3 linked regions of the Drosophila melanogaster genome follow. The protein of the gene in region 3 interacts with the protein of the main gene of each other region in a pairwise test. Each region holds a gene or a part of one and is shown on either strand. Other genes may lie near its edges.

Evidence for each region.
Region 1: the proteins of CG14546 (region 3) and Gp150 interact in a two-hybrid assay, tested with the Drosophila melanogaster proteins (one large-scale study listed by BioGRID).
Region 2: the proteins of CG14546 (region 3) and brwl interact in a two-hybrid assay, tested with the Drosophila melanogaster proteins (one large-scale study listed by BioGRID).

Annotation. Positions count from the first base shown.
Region 1 is NT_033778.4:22,321,123-22,329,004, reverse strand, and holds the start of Gp150 (Gp150), read right to left. Parts: upstream 6,103-7,882; 5' UTR 6,036-6,102; coding exon 5,980-6,035; intron 3,888-5,979; exon of another isoform or gene 3,831-3,887; coding exon 3,278-3,830; intron 3,223-3,277; coding exon 2,668-3,222; intron 2,610-2,667; coding exon 875-2,609; intron 813-874; coding exon 481-812; 3' UTR 1-480.
Region 2 is NT_033779.5:9,567,011-9,574,160, reverse strand, and holds brwl (brickwall), read right to left. Parts: upstream 5,272-7,150; 5' UTR 4,963-5,271; intron 3,891-4,962; exon of another isoform or gene 2,747-3,890; intron 2,685-2,746; 5' UTR 2,653-2,684; coding exon 2,408-2,652; intron 2,320-2,407; coding exon 2,267-2,319; intron 2,206-2,266; coding exon 1,196-2,205; 3' UTR 589-1,195; downstream 1-588. Other genes in the region: Mtpalpha (mitochondrial trifunctional protein alpha subunit), read left to right, coding at 1-391.
Region 3 is NT_033777.3:25,920,501-25,924,229, forward strand, and holds CG14546 (uncharacterized protein), read right to left. Parts: upstream 2,135-3,729; 5' UTR 1,998-2,134; coding exon 1,499-1,997; intron 1,401-1,498; coding exon 733-1,400; 3' UTR 542-732; downstream 1-541.

The sequences.
Region 1 (7,882 bases), on a different chromosome or scaffold from region 3:
AAAATGGCACTAAATCTTCAAGTTGTTCCCGGATATGGACTAATTGGATACGGATTGTGGGCAGAGGTTTGATAAATTGCAAATCCGTTGCTTTCGAAACGGTTGCTCATCAAACGCGTTCTCTGAAAGCCCACCTCTGCTGTTGCCAAGGACCTTTGACTGGTCTTAACAGTATTTGATGGTACAGGATATTTCAAGGATAAAGGATTTTGTCAAAGATTTATTCTCTCTCTTTCAATCTCTTATTTGGATTCAAGTATTTTTTAGTTGTTGCTTTGTTTCCTCGCACTTTCGCTAATACTTTTAACTGCCACCTACTGCTCCTCCTCCTGTTTCTTACATTCTTGTGCTTGTGTTTAGTCAATTGTCTGATGTGATTTTCCACTTTTTCAACTATCAATATACTTATAAATTAGAAAAACAGCGCAACTCGTTCGATTTCCGCGGCCACCGGCCCGGAACTGCTGATTCTAGGTGGACTTAGACCTGATTGATGGGCGCGTATCGGTGCACCTTTGGCTGCTTCAGATGCTTGGGCTCCTTCTGCTCCTTGCTGGTCGGCTTCACGATGTCCTCGCTCAACTTCTGGTATACGAACGAGTTCTTTGAGGCCAGCAGCGCCATGCGATAGCGCTCGCCGCGCTTGCGCAGCACCACGTAGATCACTCGGGCGATGGACAGCACGATCATCAGGAGGCAGAAGGACACGACGATCAGTGGGACCACCAGGTCGTAGGATAGTTCGCCGTGGAAGATCATCTTCTCGGTGTACTCATCTGACTCCTCGCTTTCGCTGTCGAAGCCCAGTTTCTCTGAGAAGGTAAAACATACGATTGGAATACATTCCATCAACGAATGATTGGCTAAAACTTACCCAGAAGGAATTTATCACGGGTCTCCTGAGACATGTCCACTTCCTCCGCCTGGATACCATCGGTCTTCAGGACTGGCTTCAGTTCCTTGTTCACGAACGTGTCGAAGGCCTTGTTAGCATCGGCCTTAGCCTTGGCATTCTTCTTGGCCTCCTCGAAGCGATCATCATCGTTGTTGTCATCATCATCGTCCTCATCATCGTCATCATCATCCTCCTCACTGTCATAGTCACTGCTGTCATCCTCCTTATCCTCGCCGCCATTGTTCAGATTCTCCTCGTCAGCATCTTCCTCAGGCTTCGCGGTTTCAGTGTTCACCGATCCCTTCATGATCTTCTGCATGCTGCTCAGCCTGCTCTTGTCTAGCACACTCTTGTCCAGGACACTCAGCAACTTAGCCTCATCCTCGTTAAGCTTCTTCACGCTTTCCTTCAGACGCTTCTCCAGTTTGGCTTCGGCACTGTCGGCCTTCTTTTCGTCCAAGAGATCTGATCCTTCGGCATGCTTGCACACCTCGTGGGCCAAAGACGACCAACCAGCCTGAGCCAGAGTCTCCAGCTGCACAATAGTAGCATCGTCCTCCAGATTGGCCAGCACGGGCAGACGCTTGGGAGTCATCTGCATCTGAAGAGTGACGTAGCTGATGAACTCCTGGAAGTCGGGAGTGCACTTCAGCGGATTGTTGGTGATATCCAGAGAACGCAGGTTCTTGAAGCTCTTCACATCCTCCGAAGAGATCTTCTTGATCAAATTACCAGAGGCGTTAAAGGAGCGCAGGCTGTCAAAGATCTTGTAACCCGCACCCAAGTCGCGATCGGAGAGCAAGGTGGTAAGCTCGCAGTCATTGACGTCCAGGCATCGCAGTTGGTGCAGCGGCAGGAAGAGGCGGACGGACAAGCGGCTAATGGGATTTCCAGCCAGACTGAGCTTAGTCAGCTCTCCGTTGTCCATGAAGATCAGATCGTCCATGCGGGTGATCAGGTTGTTGCTCAGATCCAAGTCAATCAGCTTGTGCAGTCCAGTGAAAATCTCGCGCGGCAGATGATTAATGTTGTTCCAGGCCAACTTCAAGGTGGTCAAATGCGGCATAGTGGAGAAGGCCTTGTGACCCAATGGACCGATGGCGCAATTGGAAATATCCAGGTAGTAGACGGTGAACTCCCCACTGTAGCTCAAGAAGCCATCGGTGGGCAACTGGCTCAGACGAGGATTGTCGTTCAAACGGATCACATCCAGCTCAGAGTTCTTAAAGAACAGCATTCCCGAGATCTGGTCCAGATCGTTGATGGACAAATCGATGTGGCGCAGGTTCTTCAAAGTAAGGAACGAGTCCGGTTGGATCTTCTTAATGCCATTGCCCTTGAGGTTCAGGTTGGTCAGACCGGGCATCTTGTCGAACATGCTGTGGTGCACTTGGACAATCGAGTTAAAGCTCAAGTCCAGCTGCTGCAGATCCTTGGTGCCAAAGTGCAGATCGCCATTGAAGGTATTGTACTTCAGGTGCAGTATGGACAGGGTGGTGCCATTGAAGATATCGCGGGGCAATTCAGTCAGCGAGTTGTAAGACAGATCCAATTCTTCCAGAAGAGTAACCTTCTCGAAAGCCTTCTCGGGCAGTTTCTTGAGACTGTTCTGGCTCAAGTTAATGTAGACGACATTGGATAGATGGGAGAAGGCCTTGGGATTCAACTCCATAAGGTTGTTGCGCGAGAAGTCCAGCTCCTCAATGCTGGAAGACTGCAAAATTATAATTTATTAGCTGGATTTCAAGGTAAAGGTTTTTGAAATCACTCACCTTCAGCAAATAGTGAATGCTGGACATCACACTCAAGTCGTTACCCGAAATGGTCAGCATGCGCAGTTTCTTGTTTCCAACAAAGGTATCGGGATTAATGATAGCCAAACCAACATCCGTCAAGTTAACAGCGTACAGCTCGTTCAGTCCGTGGAAGGCCTCGGCGTGCAGGTACTCCAAGGTGCAGTTGGCGATCTTGATGGAAGCCACGTTCTTAAGACCCAGATTCTGGAAGAAGTTGGGTCCCATCAGGATGGGGTACTTAGGACCCACATTGGTCACAACCAAATCCGTAATGTCAGAGCCAAACTTCTGGATGCCCATGTCAAGTCTGCTGCAGGTGGCCACCAGATAGCTGTTGACATTCCGGGCACACTGGCAGAATCTTGGACACGGAACGTCCTCGCTGAAGACAACTTGCTCATCATCGGTCAAAAGGTCGTCAGCGGCATCGTCCTCGTCATCATCATCATCCAGACCCTCGTCGTAGTCATATTGAGAGTCGCTGTCGATATCGTTAGCACTCTCTTTGGTCTTTTGGTCGTTGGATTTGCTCTGTAAAGTACGAAAACATATTTATTTGAATTTAAGGATGATGGGGGAAGTATACCTTGGACTTCGTGATGGTGGCATCCACAATGGGCTGCAGCTTGGGGTTGCTCTTGGCCTTCTTGGGACTGGGGGAAATCGTCACCGTCTCCTCATCGAAATAGTTGTAATCATCATCGTAGTCATAGTATTCGCTATCGTCGGTATCGGTGGAGTTCTTCTCCCCGGCGGCGACGGTAGTATTGAGCATCTTGTTGAAGTGTGGATCATCAGCCAAAGCTTGGCTGTGCTTGGCCGCCTCCATCAGATCATTCCAAGCCTCCTCGCTAAGGGACTTCTCGGTGCCGGAGGACGTGGTTTTTTTTGTGGGGCTCCTGGTGGTCGTCTCCACGGGTAAATCCTTTACCTTGGGGGTGGAGATTTTGGGCAGACTCTCGGTCGGGCTCACCTCCTCTCCAGAGTTCAGCTCGTTTTCCGTCAGATCGTCATGAATGAAGTGGATCTTGGGGCCCACGGTATTTGAGTGGCTGGCGTGGATTAGGGCCAGGGTAAAGGCCAGCAGCAGGACTAGCCTGCAAGTCGACTGGCGACTCATTTTCCTGTAGATGGGCAAACTGAAATGGACCAGGAAATTCAACGTTATACAGTACAGTAATGGCCGCTTCTGAGAAAATGACAAAAACAGACGACTCACACCCAACGGGCCCTATCTTATCGCTAATTGCTGGAGCCAGATAAGTAGATATGCGTTTATTGAATCAACCACATTCTGGAGAGGTGGCCGAGCTCATGGCTGGTCTCAGAATGCGCACATTGTCCACCTATTTCCTTAAAAATCACCGATCTGCATGACGAAATGGTGAGCCAAGTTGACTGCCCCAATTAGCACATTGGCACCCGGAGAGTTGACATCATTTCGCATGCTAATTTAGTAGGTACACTACATTCGAATCGACGAATTTCCAAATGTTTGCTTATCGTTTAATGGCAATTGTTTTGCACCCCATATGATTCGCTGCGTATTTTCAACACGTTACTCAGAATCCAGTGAAAGCACAATTCGCACTACCGTATCCGCAAAGTACTTCCCTTATTGATTAGTACTGTATACATCATCTAACAGTAATGCATATGCCGAAAATAGTTTCTGGAGAATTGCTGACTCTCAATCTCGCGATTCGAGTTGGTCTGTCATCAACTGGAGCTTGTTTATTTGAGTTTCAGTTTGCTTGCCCTTTGATTGCACGCGACTGGTTTGGTTACCCTAACTAAACGATTGGGTAATCACATTGTGCTTTTTGGAATCGATTCGATATGAGGGAATCCCCACTGAGCGTTTCTTGACGCCGATTATGAACTCGTTTGCCAGCTCGCTGATTCTAAGAAATTCTCAAAACCAGACTGAAAACTCGACGCTCTCCAGGTCTCTTATGCAATTTACGTAGTTTTGGAATGCATTTTCCACCCATTCGATGCGGATTCCATGGCGGATGGCCCTATTGAAAGACCGCCTGTGTTTGCCTTCGTTTTCATGGCAAAGCAAACACATAATTCGAGACCGTGGCTCGCCGAGTGGTAAACAAAGAGCTTTGGGTATTATTGCTTTTCGTAACCAGGCAAACGACCCGGGATCGCGAGAGATCCGACTCCGCCAGCAAAGTGTAAAATGCAAAATGCGCAGTTAAGGCGGCCAGAATAGATCGCATTTATCCAGCCAATACACAGTATGGCGGCTATGGGAACATATGTGCGCACATATCGTATGTTAGAGCATTTCATTAGACCCCACAGCAAACCGCTTAGCAGCCAGCTCCGCGTTGCGAGTGGGTGTCAGGTTGACTGGGAGCCTGACACAAGCGCGAAGGGAAAACTGCAGTCTCGAGATCGCATTAAACGTGTTTAGGTCTCTCGGCTAACACATTTCATCGAGTCAAGAAAGACAGCGGTTTTTGGCTCGCTTGAAATTGGCTTTGGCTTTAGCTTTGGCCAAGGCGCCGCCGACACTCCGACCATAATTAATTCCATTTCTGTCATTGCAGCGATATATGTATGTATATATGTCTGTATACACAGATGTCCGCTTGAACTGGGCTATACGAGGGTAGACTCTGTTCAAGTTTAGAGAGAAACCGGTAACTGGCACTGGCACTGGCCATACTTGTACATGTATGCAAATACGTTTTCCACTCGGAAATTCGTGAGTCAGCCAATTCATCATATTGCTGCGGCTATCTACAGCTGTAAAGATTAGACTAGTCGGGATATATCCAATCGGTAAGCCCCATCCCTCCATTGATCTGTCTCCCCCGCCAGTAAATAAAAATCTATAACTGAGTGCTTTGTAGTGTCGTGCATCTAATTAACGTCCAGCTAATGGGGAAATGCTTTCCTGAAACTGTTTCTAGAACACTTTGACATTCGATCGAGATAAACCCTGATCTGGCCCTGTCATACATAATGGCCCCGTACTTAACGTAACCCGATACGGAAACACTTTGGATCGCTTCGTTTAAAGGCACACTTCCACAGAGTATCAGAGTATCGCCTAACAAAATGATTTCGAGTCTTGATACAAGACACGATTTGTTTAAACGTAAACCTCTATTCAATTTATTAGTATATTTTGATTTGGCTCCATTGGTTGTCTTTCGGTTTTTATCAACTGGTTCACAGACGGTTGGCATGTGGTCGGTTTTGTCAACAGATTAGAATTATAAACGCTTCCCATGAGACCCGCCAACCCACATTTAAGTATCAAGTTACCCAGAAATGTCATGTGGATTGGAGAGCAGATGGGGCCCGGTTATCAAATTGTGCATGGGTGCGTCGTCGATCGGAAATTGGAAACTGGGTGCGACCCTTGGGCAGTCAATATACCAAGTATATGCCCGAAAAATATCTGCATTCCTCTGGGTAGAGAGATCCCGTTGATTAGCAAGGTTGGCTAATGAACCTCGAACTCAGGTAGTTTCGCCTTGATTCCGTCTTACGATCAACACAAATGTGTCTCTGGCAAATACCAAGAAATACCCAAAATAATGCGATCATGAGTCTGTGTGCGTGGGCAGATAGTGATTGAGATGTCTGGGTAAAAATAGCTGGCGTTAACAGGAAGTGAAACGAGAGAAACGGACGTGTAGGTAGAATATTGCATTTTTTCGGGAACTTATGTGTCCCCTTTAAAGGATATCGATTCATGGAAAGAGTGGAGGGACAGGCGAAACGGAAATGCCTCAGCTGATGCCTTCATTAGGGTGGCTCAAGCCAATTTCATCCGGCTTTAAATCTGCGGATCACGACATCGTCAAATTTGTTGACCGATTCATTAGCATCACGAGTTGCTGCGGATTTTGACGATTTACGATTGTTATTTCTGCTAGAAAATACACCACTGGCCAACTGCTCAGATATAACATTTCCATCTATATATCATAGTGTATCCCACTCGGTTGAAGCCATTCTGGAATATAATTTCTGCAACGTTAATTTTTTGCAGCCAGGCAGACAGGCAGTACAATGGACAAAATTGCCCAAGGCGTGCACATAAAAAATAAACACAAAAGTATAAAAAATGCCGACATTTGACCACACAGACTAACACGCAGTTGGCACAAAAGGTTGGTACAAAAAGGGGGAAACTGTTGGCTCACAAAGATGGCCAGACTGGTTTTTGGCTGGAAACTGCCACTCGAACTCGGAGCAGATGTGTGAGCCAAGTTAGCCCGGTGGCAGCCAAAAGTCAGGCAGATGACTTTACCAGTTACGAAAAATTCTTGCTAAAAGCCATTTCAATTCGCTCAAACTCAAACATTTCGAAAGGGAATTTCTAAATAATAACCGATGGTGTCACGTTCGAGTTGCTTGAACTCTTCGCACCGAATGTGCTCTATTACAATCAAAATAAAGTCGTTAATGTTTACGTAAATAGTTTAATCGCAATGACACTTTGTAGTGTCTAGTGTGTACATATTGTCTGTAATACTATATGTAGTATATAGTGAGAAGTGTCATAATCAATTAAAATTGCTATTCGATTATAGGAAATCGATTAGCTTATCTAAGAAGGTCACTGGAGCTTAAAAGAGACGCGTACTTGCCAAGTCGGCAAACTAATTACACTTCAGGGTAAAATTTTGCAGCAGCTGCAAGTTCGTGTGAGCGAAACGACATTTCTCAGTTAAGACCTTTTCAAAATTTATCGCGAAGTAATGCCTTCTGATCGATCGGAAATAAAATTGCACCTTGTGTGCTGCATTTTAGTCGATAAAGTGCATTTGCTGTTATCTGAGGGAATTCCCTGCATGGGAATTCAGTGATTAAAACTCCATAAATTGATTTCAGCCATTCGAATCCGAGTTTTATGCCTGCTTCCTCGCCTTGCCAGCAATTGCCCTTTGTTTGGATCGATCGGTGCACCGTATATATAGCCCTGAATCTGAAGCAGGAAGCGTAACATAAATTAAGAACTTAAGGAGGTGGTGCAAATGAGAAACCGGCTTTCACCTGGCGGGGGCGGTTCATTAGCGATATCTGTATCGTATTTCGATCCCAGCTTCCGACTTTTAGAGTGCCGGATAAGTCGATTCTAGCAGTCTGGCTTGTGGCACGACTTTCTGCCCCCAGCTGAAAAGCTGGAAAGCGCTTTTCATTGTGCTTAGTCGTCGGA
Region 2 (7,150 bases), on a different chromosome or scaffold from region 3:
GAAGAGGGGCACTCGTCCAGTGAACAACGATGCTCTCGAAATCGTGAAACAAAAGTACGCTTTAGTCTCAAAGGGAGCCAATGCCCCCGAGGATCTGACGCTGCGTATGGTATCCCGCTTCATCAACGAAGCCGTGCTCTGTCTGGAGGAGAAGATTCTGGACAGTCCGCTGGAGGGCGATGTCGGAGCCGTGTTCGGCCTGGGCTTCCCGCCATTCTCCGGTGGTCCCTTCCGCTGGGTCGATCAGTATGGAGCCGGCAAACTGGTCAGCAAGATGCAATCCTATGCTGAGCTGTACGGAGCTCCCTTCAAGCCCGCTCAGACCCTGCTCGACATGGCTAAGGACCCGTCGAAGAAGTTCTACCCCAAGACTGGCTCCTCGAAGTTGTAGATCCGATCCAATCCGATCCCAGCCTCCGTAGAGCCGCTAACGAAATTTAGCTTTTAGTGCGAAGATAAGTCGTGTCCTTGTGCATTTCTCTCAGAAAGGAAACCTATTGTGGTCCATCGCTGCCTAAAAAATGGGGCAAGGCCCAATAAAAAGCCCTCTGTTGAAGTTGTCGACAATTAAATTAAAGTTTACCGTGTAATTTTCCATACTTTCATTTGTTTATTATTACACACAGCAGTTTGATATCGATCTATCTCTTTATCCCTCTTTGTTTACTCAAACGGAAATTCATTTGTACACAGATTCTATAGTTTAGGTTTCAATAGCAGCGTATATACAGTGTCCTTAAACTAACATATTTTCGAAGCAGCCATTTTCTAAAATCTTGAAATCTATTTTCACAATTCCTTAACTGCTACGTCAGAACTAAATGGCTTATAAGGAGACCTCATTACTTCTTGTTCGTTGAATGTGTTCGATTTCGGAATAGCTTTAAATGTATATATTAGTTGTTCATATATATATGTATATATTTGGTCATGCAAGTTCTTGCAGCTCTTTGTAAATGGACCATTCATAATGGTTGGTCAAAATCGAAACAATTCGCGGACTTGAAAGAATTGAAGGCCTTTGAAAACATACCCATCTTATTGAGTAGACACAACACATTAACAGTGAGCGGACTGAAGTAGCTCAGATTCGAATTAGTACCCATTCCAGCTTCAGATCCCCCTTAAGCTTCTAACTAAACTTATCCTATCCCTAGTTAAGGATTAGTGACTTTCCGATACACTTTCTATTCCTTTATTGTTTCCTCCAATCGCGTCCAGAGCTGCGCCTTTGATGCTTAACAGATCCCCCATTGCTGCTACCGCCACTTCCGTTGACTACGCCAGATACGCCTCCTCCGTTGCTGTGATCCTGGGCGGGATATCGGGTTACAACGTCGTCAATTAGCTCCAGAATGCCAATCTTGAACTTGCGACGTTGCTGTGGAGTGAGAGTCGCCAGATCTGGGAGAATGCTGCGGAAGAACTCCATGTCCGCCACTTCCGACGAACTCAGTCCGCCGTAAATACTTCCTGCATTCGTCATCGTGCTGGTGGCCTCGCATTCCGTCTTGATTCTTTTCGTGCTCCCCGGTTCGTAGGATGCTGGGTGATGATCCATGGACAATGTCAAAGGATGTGGATGCGAGTGCGGATGGTAGTGCAGAGGCGGTGGTGTGCCATGTCCACCATCGCTGTAGATGAGTTGCGAGCCCGTCTCGGCCAGCTGCACATCTGGAATGAAGTTTTTCATGCTATCCGCACTAGCGGTATCGCTTCTGGCCGGTGAATTGCCTCCGCCTCCTTGAAGGGCAGAACTGCGAGTGGGCGTGGACGAAGTACGATTCATACCCAGGGTGTTGGTAACCGCGGGATCAAAGGCGTCGATGGTCTCCTCATCGTCCTTCTCCGATATCGAGTACTTCATCTCCAAGACCTCCATACTCTCACCATTATGGACGTCGTTGTTATTATTATTATTATTGATGCTAGTGTTGGCGCAGTACTTGTGCTCCTCGGTCGCATGGAGTGCTGGATGCAGGAGAAATGGTTGATGCTGCAAATGCTGCTGGGACATCTGGTACAGAGTGGCCAGACTGTTGTTCCCCTCCAAAGAGTTACGGCTGGACTTCAGGAAGGGCAGCAGGAACGCCATGTGCTCGGTCAGGTAGTATGGCTTGTGCTGCGGCTCCGATCCGGATTGCTGCTTTATGTAGCGGGATAGGCAGGCCCGAAGGTTTCGCCATCGCTCCTTGCAATGGATCACTAAAGATTATGAAAGTTCTGATTAATTTAAGGGATTAATGTTTTTCCTATTATTGCTTACCGCTTTCTCTTGTCTCCTTTGAAATAAGCACCCAAGCCTTTTCCTGATTATCCCTGTAAAAAGTTATTTAAATTAGTTAAGACTGAACGTACGGAACGATCTGGATCGTATCTTCTGGCAGCCGATGGACTCGCCACTCACCTGTTGCGGTACTCGGGCACCTTCTTGTCGTAGAGACACTTGTGGGTGCGCACCAGGTTGACGAAGCGGATGTTGAAGTCCTCGTCCGCCTGCATCACTCGGTTGGTGGATCCAATAGAGGCGCCTGCTGTTCCGGATCCCGAACCCGTTGGACTGTGGTGGTTGTAGGCGGTGGTGCCGTTGGAGGTTCGCTCCTCGTGCTCGCTGCTGTGGTTGTTGCTGCTGCTGCGGGTTGAGGTGGTCATATTCGTTGGCGGTATCGTCCCTCACAGAGCCACTAAAAGATACGTTTTAAATTTGAAGTCTATTTAGAGAAATGTTAAAATAAACAGCGATTACCAGGGGTTTGAACGGGTTTGCTGTCATGTTGCACGTTATGATCTCAAGAAATGGCAACTTCAAGTTAAGTTAGCCACTCCAATATTTGATTTTTAGACTTTCCTATCGATGTATGTATGTACCATACATACATATGTATTTATATACAATCCTATTTATTTTTGAGCTGGCAAACAAACAGAATTCTCAACGACTCTTTTTCAGCTTTTTTGCCTTTTCTGCTGGGGTTTTGTGTTCGGTTTCTTTTCGTTTTGTCGTGTTATTTGTTTGTGTGTTGGTTTCTGTTCAGTTCGGTTCAGTTGTGTTCTGTTCAGTTCTGTTCCGCTGTCTGTTGCTGCTGTCTCAGCAAACGAGGCATAGAGCTTTTCGCTCATATATATTTCGTGAAACTTAATAAAACATTGTTGTAGCCGTGGCCGTTGTTGTCGTTGTAGTTGTAGTTGTAGCTGTAGTTGCCATTATATTCAGTACAGTTTGGCTAGCTGGATAGGATAGGAAAGCATTGCGTTGCGTTGATGTTGACAACTCGGCGGCGAAACGACGACAGCCAGCAACTTTGTTTACTTTTCATATTATTATAGCCACAGCAGCGACAATGGCAGCGGCCATAAAAATAACAGGCAATCTGGCTGTTTGTGCTGCTTGTTTGTGTTTTTGTTGCCGTTTGTTTCTGTTGCTGTTGCTGCTGGCGTCGAAAGCTGAAAGCTTTTGTCTGCTTCACTGATAACAGCAACAACAGCACAACTAAAGCAGCAGCAACAAAACAACAGTAACAACAACAACAGAATGCTTCAGCAACAACAGCAACACTCTGCTGCAGCAGCAGCAATTCAGTGCAGCAAGCAATGTTGTGTTGCAATATCCGAAAACATGTTGGCCAAAACCAAATCCGCTGAATAGTCACGAATATGTGTGCGAGTACCCACCGCACTCACTGCTCACTACTTGCAAACGATTCGCTCTCGCACCTGCGACTACCTGTTTCGATTCTAATCAGCCCACTCCACCTGTCCATTCACTCGACTGCCTACCCTTTTGCCGTCAGCCCCTTTCTATCGCGGCGACACTTGGGCCGCTCTTAAATCTCCGACAGTTTTCCCGCCACTTTCAGCACCTTTTGGGCCCACCAGTTTTGCAAAGCGAAAAACGTGCGCACAGTGGGATGGAAGTAATCGAAAAAGGGCATTACCAAAAGTATATCAAGGAAAAATATAATAACAATTTCCACATTGCTTGGAAACCTATTAGATGGTATTTTATATGTATATATATATTTTTTGGACATCTGTAAGTAAATCTCTGGAAAATCGTAGGTAATAATTCCCTTCAACTATTAATCTTAATATCAGGTTCAGAGTCCAATAAGTTTTCTATTTTTTCGGACATAAAAAAGTAGCAAGAGAAAACTCTAGCACTCTAAGCTGAACCAAACAAAAAATTAATATTGCTTTCCATTTTCGTAACACTTTGGTCCCACTGTGCGCTGGCAGCATTGTTGTGTTCTTTGGCCAGTCATCATTATTATCAGCGAACATCATTATCAAGGCGAACGTTGCTCGCGTGTTTTGGCTCTGCCCGTTGTTGTTTTTGTTAATGTTATTGTTGGATTGCTGTGTGCGGTGTGGGCGGGGGGAAAATGGAATGGAATGGGAATGGCGACTGGAAGGGGCAGAAAAACAACTAACCTGGGCTATATGGCAATATTTATTGTATTACGTCTATTTAACATAAACATATCAGCATGAGCGCGTACTAATTCCTTGAGAAATGTTCATGTTTATCTATTAACAACGGGGCTCAGCAAAAAGTACAGCAACGTACAAATCGAAAAACACAGAATCAGCAACAGCCAAACACAAAACCCAACGGAAAACAAAAACAACAACAAAAAAAAAGAATTTATTTCTAAAGCTAACAAAACACAGAAAACTTGCAGAAATACCCGGCCCGCTCTTTGTTTCCCTCCACCAACAAAAATACATACAGTATATTGTATATTCCGTGGCCCAATGACAGCAACAACAACAATCGCAATAACTTTGTTAGATAGACAACAACAACAACAACAATACACACAATACACACACACATTCACAGGCAATCGCACACAAGGAAACAATATGGCATATAGAATTTTTCTTTCTGCTGCTTATCAGGCTGTTATTGTTGCTGTTGTTCCTAACTTGTGATGTTGTTCCAAGCAAAGAATTCATTACCTTTTGGTTGGTATTCGTCGTTGGATTACAGAAAAACTCCTGTTGCAGAGGCGATTTCAAAACGCAACAACTCCTTGCTCGCAGCGATTTCAAAACGACACGATGCACGGCACACAAATAAAACGGCGCCAAAAATATTTTTGTTGCTGCTGCTGCTGCAGCGACCGACGACTGACGTAACGTTCAAAAATGTTGAATTCGAAAACTCGCGGTCGAGTCGACGGTGCACGGCGCTCGGGAATCGGCGGCGGACTGTTGGATTGTTGGCAATGTCGTATGTTTCGCGTACCAAGCGACCAAGGCGACTAAGCACACAGAGAAAAACACACAGACACAGCCACAAATGCGACTGCTGCCCTGCGAGAGCGAGCGGTGCACTGAGAGAAATAGAGTTGTCACTTGGCAATTGTGAAATGTAATATAAAGATGTTTTAAATTGGTAATGTATTATTAGCCCCAAACTTAATTAAAGGGAAAAATATAAAATTATTTGCAGACTTTATTAATGATCCATGTAAGCGGTATTAATTTAATAGTTATGAGGTTCAAACAAGTACCAATTAAACACGTATTCCCTCAGTGTATCAACCAGTATCTATCGGCTACGTAGAACACTGAAGCAACAGCAACAACATGACACGAGTGGACGGCGAGCAAACAGAGAACAACGCACACTCTCCGCCGCACACACACAGATACTAACACGGACACACACCAATGCGCCAATACAAACACACACAGCTGGCTGCTCAACAGCAGGGAACTTTTTATTGTTGTTGCTGGCAACGAACAACAAATAAGACAAACAATGCACACGCACACGAATGACGAGTGTTTTCGAGTCGGAGAAACGGCAACTGCGCGGTACGAAATGCAAAGATACAGATACAATGAGTTGGTTGTCGGTTGTGGAGGGTAGGAAAGGGACACAGGCCAACAAAAATAGTTGCACTGCATCAAGAGTGTTGCCTGTCGTTAGAGGCTAGTCACCCACCCCGAAAGGATCTCTCAAAGGATCAGCGGACTACTAGGTAATCCTGATCGAAATCGATTGATTCAAATGGATTTTCAAAAGATATATCATGTTCAAGATCTTTTTGTTGGGCAATACAATTTTTACATATGTATGTTGATTGTTATGTTGAATATAACTTCAGGCTTATTATTACTGTCTAATGGTAATGTTTCTATTTATTTCCACGTCCATTAACATGTATAATTGGTTTTCCCCAAAATATGTTAGTGAACAGGTGACAGTCGCAAATAGAAAATACACATTTTTTACGCTGTAACTCTGACAAAAAAAATAAAACACAGGAACCCAAATAGTTTACCTGAAAACTTACCTGCGAATTTCCAGTGATCATAATTCCATTGTGCGCTTCTTCTTCTTCTTTGCTCTAACTCTCAGGGAACATTGAAACAACAACAGTTGCTTACTCAGCACCGCACACAAACATAAACTGCGCTCTCACGGACACTACAACAGCTGTCGCTCTCAGAACCAACAACAAAGCGAGCAAACAAAAATCATGTTGTTGTTGCTCACAAAGCTTTGCAATTTCTCTGCCGCTAACATCGCTGCTTTTGTGTAGTTGTTGCTGCCGCCCGAGTTGCCAACAAGCTTTCCAACAACATTTGTTTACATTTCAAATTTATTAGGCGAGCTTTTCGGACATTTGAACAAGCTTCGTGGGCTACTCGCTAGGTGGCGCATGCTACTTCCGGTATAGATTTGAACAGCTATTTTTTTTAATTTACTTCAGAAATAAAATAAGCATTTATGCATATTTAAATATAAATAGATAAATATACCTGTTTCAGTTTCGTTAGAATGCACAATTTACTCTTGACTAAATGACTTCCGAGCAAACAAAATATTTAAACAATATTGTTAATAAAAAATAAGAAATGATTACTTAAGCTCTTACGTTTCCCTCCAACGGTCATTTGATATGTCATTATCCAAACACTCATATTGTTATTCACACGCGAAAAGCTCGACAAAGCTCAAAAGGACTCACTCCTTAGGCCAAAACTGTCAGGGTTTATGTATTCCGCCTGACAGCAGACCACCAACCCAGTTATTTCCAGCACTTTAACGATTTGTTTACAACTTTGTTGCCCTGCAATTTACCGCTAGCATACGGACCTGCCAGCCAGCCCAGCTTTTCACCCCTTTCCGACC
Region 3 (3,729 bases):
GATTTCGATATGAATCGTTACTTAAACTCCACTTTAGAATAGTAAGTACATTTCGTGTTTCCGGTAAAAACTTTTATATTTATTAAACATCTTTTTTAATAGCGAACCTCACAGTGGATCATCTATATATCACATGTCATTCCTGTTATACGCTATGTTGGGAGCCCTACTTACAATTATAACTTCAAACTTGGCTACTTTCGTCTACGGACGTCAGGATATCAAGAACGTTGATGAGAATCTTCTGGCACCAGTTGTTCAACGCTACTTGCGAAAAAACAATTACTATCAGAGCGTGGAGCTCAAGAAAGTTGAGGTACCAAAACTCAGTGAAAGTTCCGATTAAGCGATTTGTTGAGCAATGCAGTTGCTGTTACCATTGCTTAACAGTTTTGTTCCTATTGATAAGTATGAATTAGTTCATACATCAACATATTTCCTAATAATTCGATAGAGATTTTGTTTGTTCCTAAAAGGTAAATAAAAGCTTAAGAGGCTTAAAAAAGTGTAAATAAATACAGCAGTAGCTTGCATTCATTTTAGATTAATTAAAACTGTTTGTTTTTATTAAAATTTTTACTATAAAATTGATGTCTCAATTTGCTTTGGCTGCTAAGACTACCAATTGCAAAACACGAAAAGGGTTCCCAATTCATTTGATTCCTATATACGTGCAATGCAATTGGGAGTCTTAACAGATTTTTGTTTCAGGGGCTGCATAAAAGACTACTTCTATTTGCCTTTATTCTGACCAGTTTTGCGAATTAACTTTTGCCGGGGAATTGGACAATTGCGGACGTAAGGTGGATAGGTCATGGCCGGAAGGCAGACAATATTATCCTGTCTGTGGTTAGAAGATCTAGATGAGCTGCTTCTAGAGACTTTTGAAGCATGTTGGTTCTGATTAAACCGCGTAGGATTGGGGGAAGTACGGCCGGAAAGGTCTGGCATGCTGTAAGAAGTGGATTGTCTTGGGAGATCAGGAGCAGTTGCATGCCTTGAAGACGACCGGGACACCTGATTGCTCCTGGCGGTAGACTCCTGATCCGTACTGGAATTGTACAAATGATAAACCAATGGCACCTGCTGTTGGCACAATTGATGTTGCGGGGCTTTCGGCACTCGTTCCTTTGCCTCGCCACCAGTGCTTCTTTTCGAGAGGTCCACACTGGAACTTCTACTTTTACGAACCCGTGCATTTCGCACCTCCTTGCAAGTGCACATCCGCTTCCGTTCTCGTTCCAACTTCCGGTCCCTTTCCAGATCTTGCTCTTCCTTGCGCCGCTGTTTGTTCGCCTTCGCTTGATTGAGCGCTCTGTAGTGCACGGTTTGGTTGTCGATGAGCATTTGGGTAACGAATTTGAATTGGTTCAAGCTCGCTTCACTCTGAGCGGCAATTTCTAAAGGACATCGGTGAAGTTGTGATATAACAGTTTACTACGCTTCTTACATTATAATAATTGATTTTTATTTAATAAAAATTTTTAACCGAACTTACTGTTGGTGACATCGTGATAGATTTTATTGAGCATCGCCTCCTGATTCTGTAGGTCCTTCGACAGTCGTTCCATTTTGGCCACGGATTGCTCAAAGCTCTTGGACACCATTCGCCGCACAGCATCCTGTACCGATTCCAGGACATTATCGTGAATGATGCTAAAGAAGTCGGCAAAGGATTCCTGCAGATCGCGATTGGGATCGTTGCTGGGACTGGAGGTCATTTTATCCGTTTTTCTATCGTCGCCACCAGAATTGCGAGTGTCTTTTTCACTCGAACAAATCACGGGTGTTTCCCGGAATCCTACGCTTTTGGAGGACGAATCCTTGTCCCGCAAAGAGCTCGACTTGGATATATTCCGTTGGCGCTCCGTTCGATGGCGAGTCCTTCTCCTGCCGGCTGACGTCACTGAGGGAGAGGAATGCCGTACTACCTTTCTTTTCAAAACATCATAGCCCGACTGTCTGGCCGATTTCGTAAAGCAGTAATTTGGAAACATGACTTTTTTGACGAATTTTTAGGATGTAGATCGATTTAAAATTGGCGGCTCATGTTATTGTAATGAAATCTTTGCCTTCGCATCATGTGGATGTAAGCTCTTTTGAAATTAAATAGCTTGTTTTTTTTCAGATATTTATTTTGAAAGATAAATCCAAAATGGGATTGCTATAAAACAATTGTTATATCTTCCTATTTGCATAATTTATTGTTCAACTATATTTATTTATCTTCGTTTTGTACTTGTTTCACAAAATCAACATTTTTTATTATAAAATCCATGGTAAATAAGAATGAATACCAATTAAGTAAATAATTTTCCATAAATTTTTTTTCGCAAGACTTCGGCATTGTTTACTAACTCGCTAATAGCAATTCAATTAAAAGTTAATAATTAAATTGCAAAATCATAATTGCAAAAATTTTGCAACTGTCCGCCATCCGAAGTAAGCTTCTTAATGGATTTTTCCTCCTCCGTCGAGTCCAATGAGGCGGATGGCCGACAGGGAAAAGTATTTGTGCGAAAGGACCTGAAATGAATTTATTTGCCAACCATCCCATTAAGTAACCATAGTTTCCATCTGCTCGCCCAACCGATTAAATGTCAGTCAGGAAGTGGAGCAAGTGAATTCGCAAGGGTTGATGCGTATCATGAATTTAACCAGCCTCAAAACAAACATAAACAGTATGAATATCCAGAGTTGGCATGTTAAAATTGCCATTTGCAGACAATAAGAGTAAAGCACATAACCTTTGGCTGTTTGCAGAGCCCACAGCAACCAATATGTTTTCATTGTCTGCCCGGTTTGTCGCTCAATTTATTTGTGATGTTGACTTTCCAACAGTGACGTCAGTGGAGGCCACAGACAATACCACATCATCGCAACAATTATAAATGGTGTGGTGGCGAAAAAACGTCCTTGTGCCCATTGTTCAGTGGGGCGAACTGAAAAGTGGATTTTCCAGCGCGTGCCAGGAAAATGAATGAAAATGCGGGACATTCTTGAAGTCGTTGCCTTTATTCTGCTTTCACACATAATTATGAAATAAATATTAGCTTAAACCAAATTGACTACAACGTTATGCTCTATTAACTCTTATGGTCTACTTATGCTTAATGGGTTTTGGTTTAAGATGCTTGGGCATGTTTATCCACCATTACGAGTGGCTATATACACGGATGAGTTGGAATTTAAATGGCCTTAATAGCTAGTTAGGACTGGAAAGAAATGCATTTTAAATTTCTGATAAATGGCCGCGATTCACATACAAGTAAAATCAGTCTGTTTAAGAGAATATAACTAAACCGAGCTACTAATGGATTGAAACCTAGGTTCTGAGTGGTGGACAAAAAATCTTAATAGTTTTCGAAACACTTATTTCATTAGGATACCATATACTTAAATTAATTTCTCCAGTTTAAAGTTGATTGCAAAAATGCCTAATTAAATGTTTCAGGTAAGTTTTTTGGAAATATAAAACCTTTGTACCAATATCAAATTATAATGGGTTCTTTAGTTAAAATTTAATAAAAATCAAAATCTTGAATAGATTCAATTACCCATTTTGACACTTTAGATTTTTAATTTTAGAGTTAATTAAATGCCGTATAAATGTTATCTTAACTATAGATTGCGAAGTAGAAATAGGTTTGAAATTCGTAGCGTAGACTTGGCGTACTTACGACTAGAAACATACATTTGGCTTTACCCATGCCTGGTATAACTATCGAA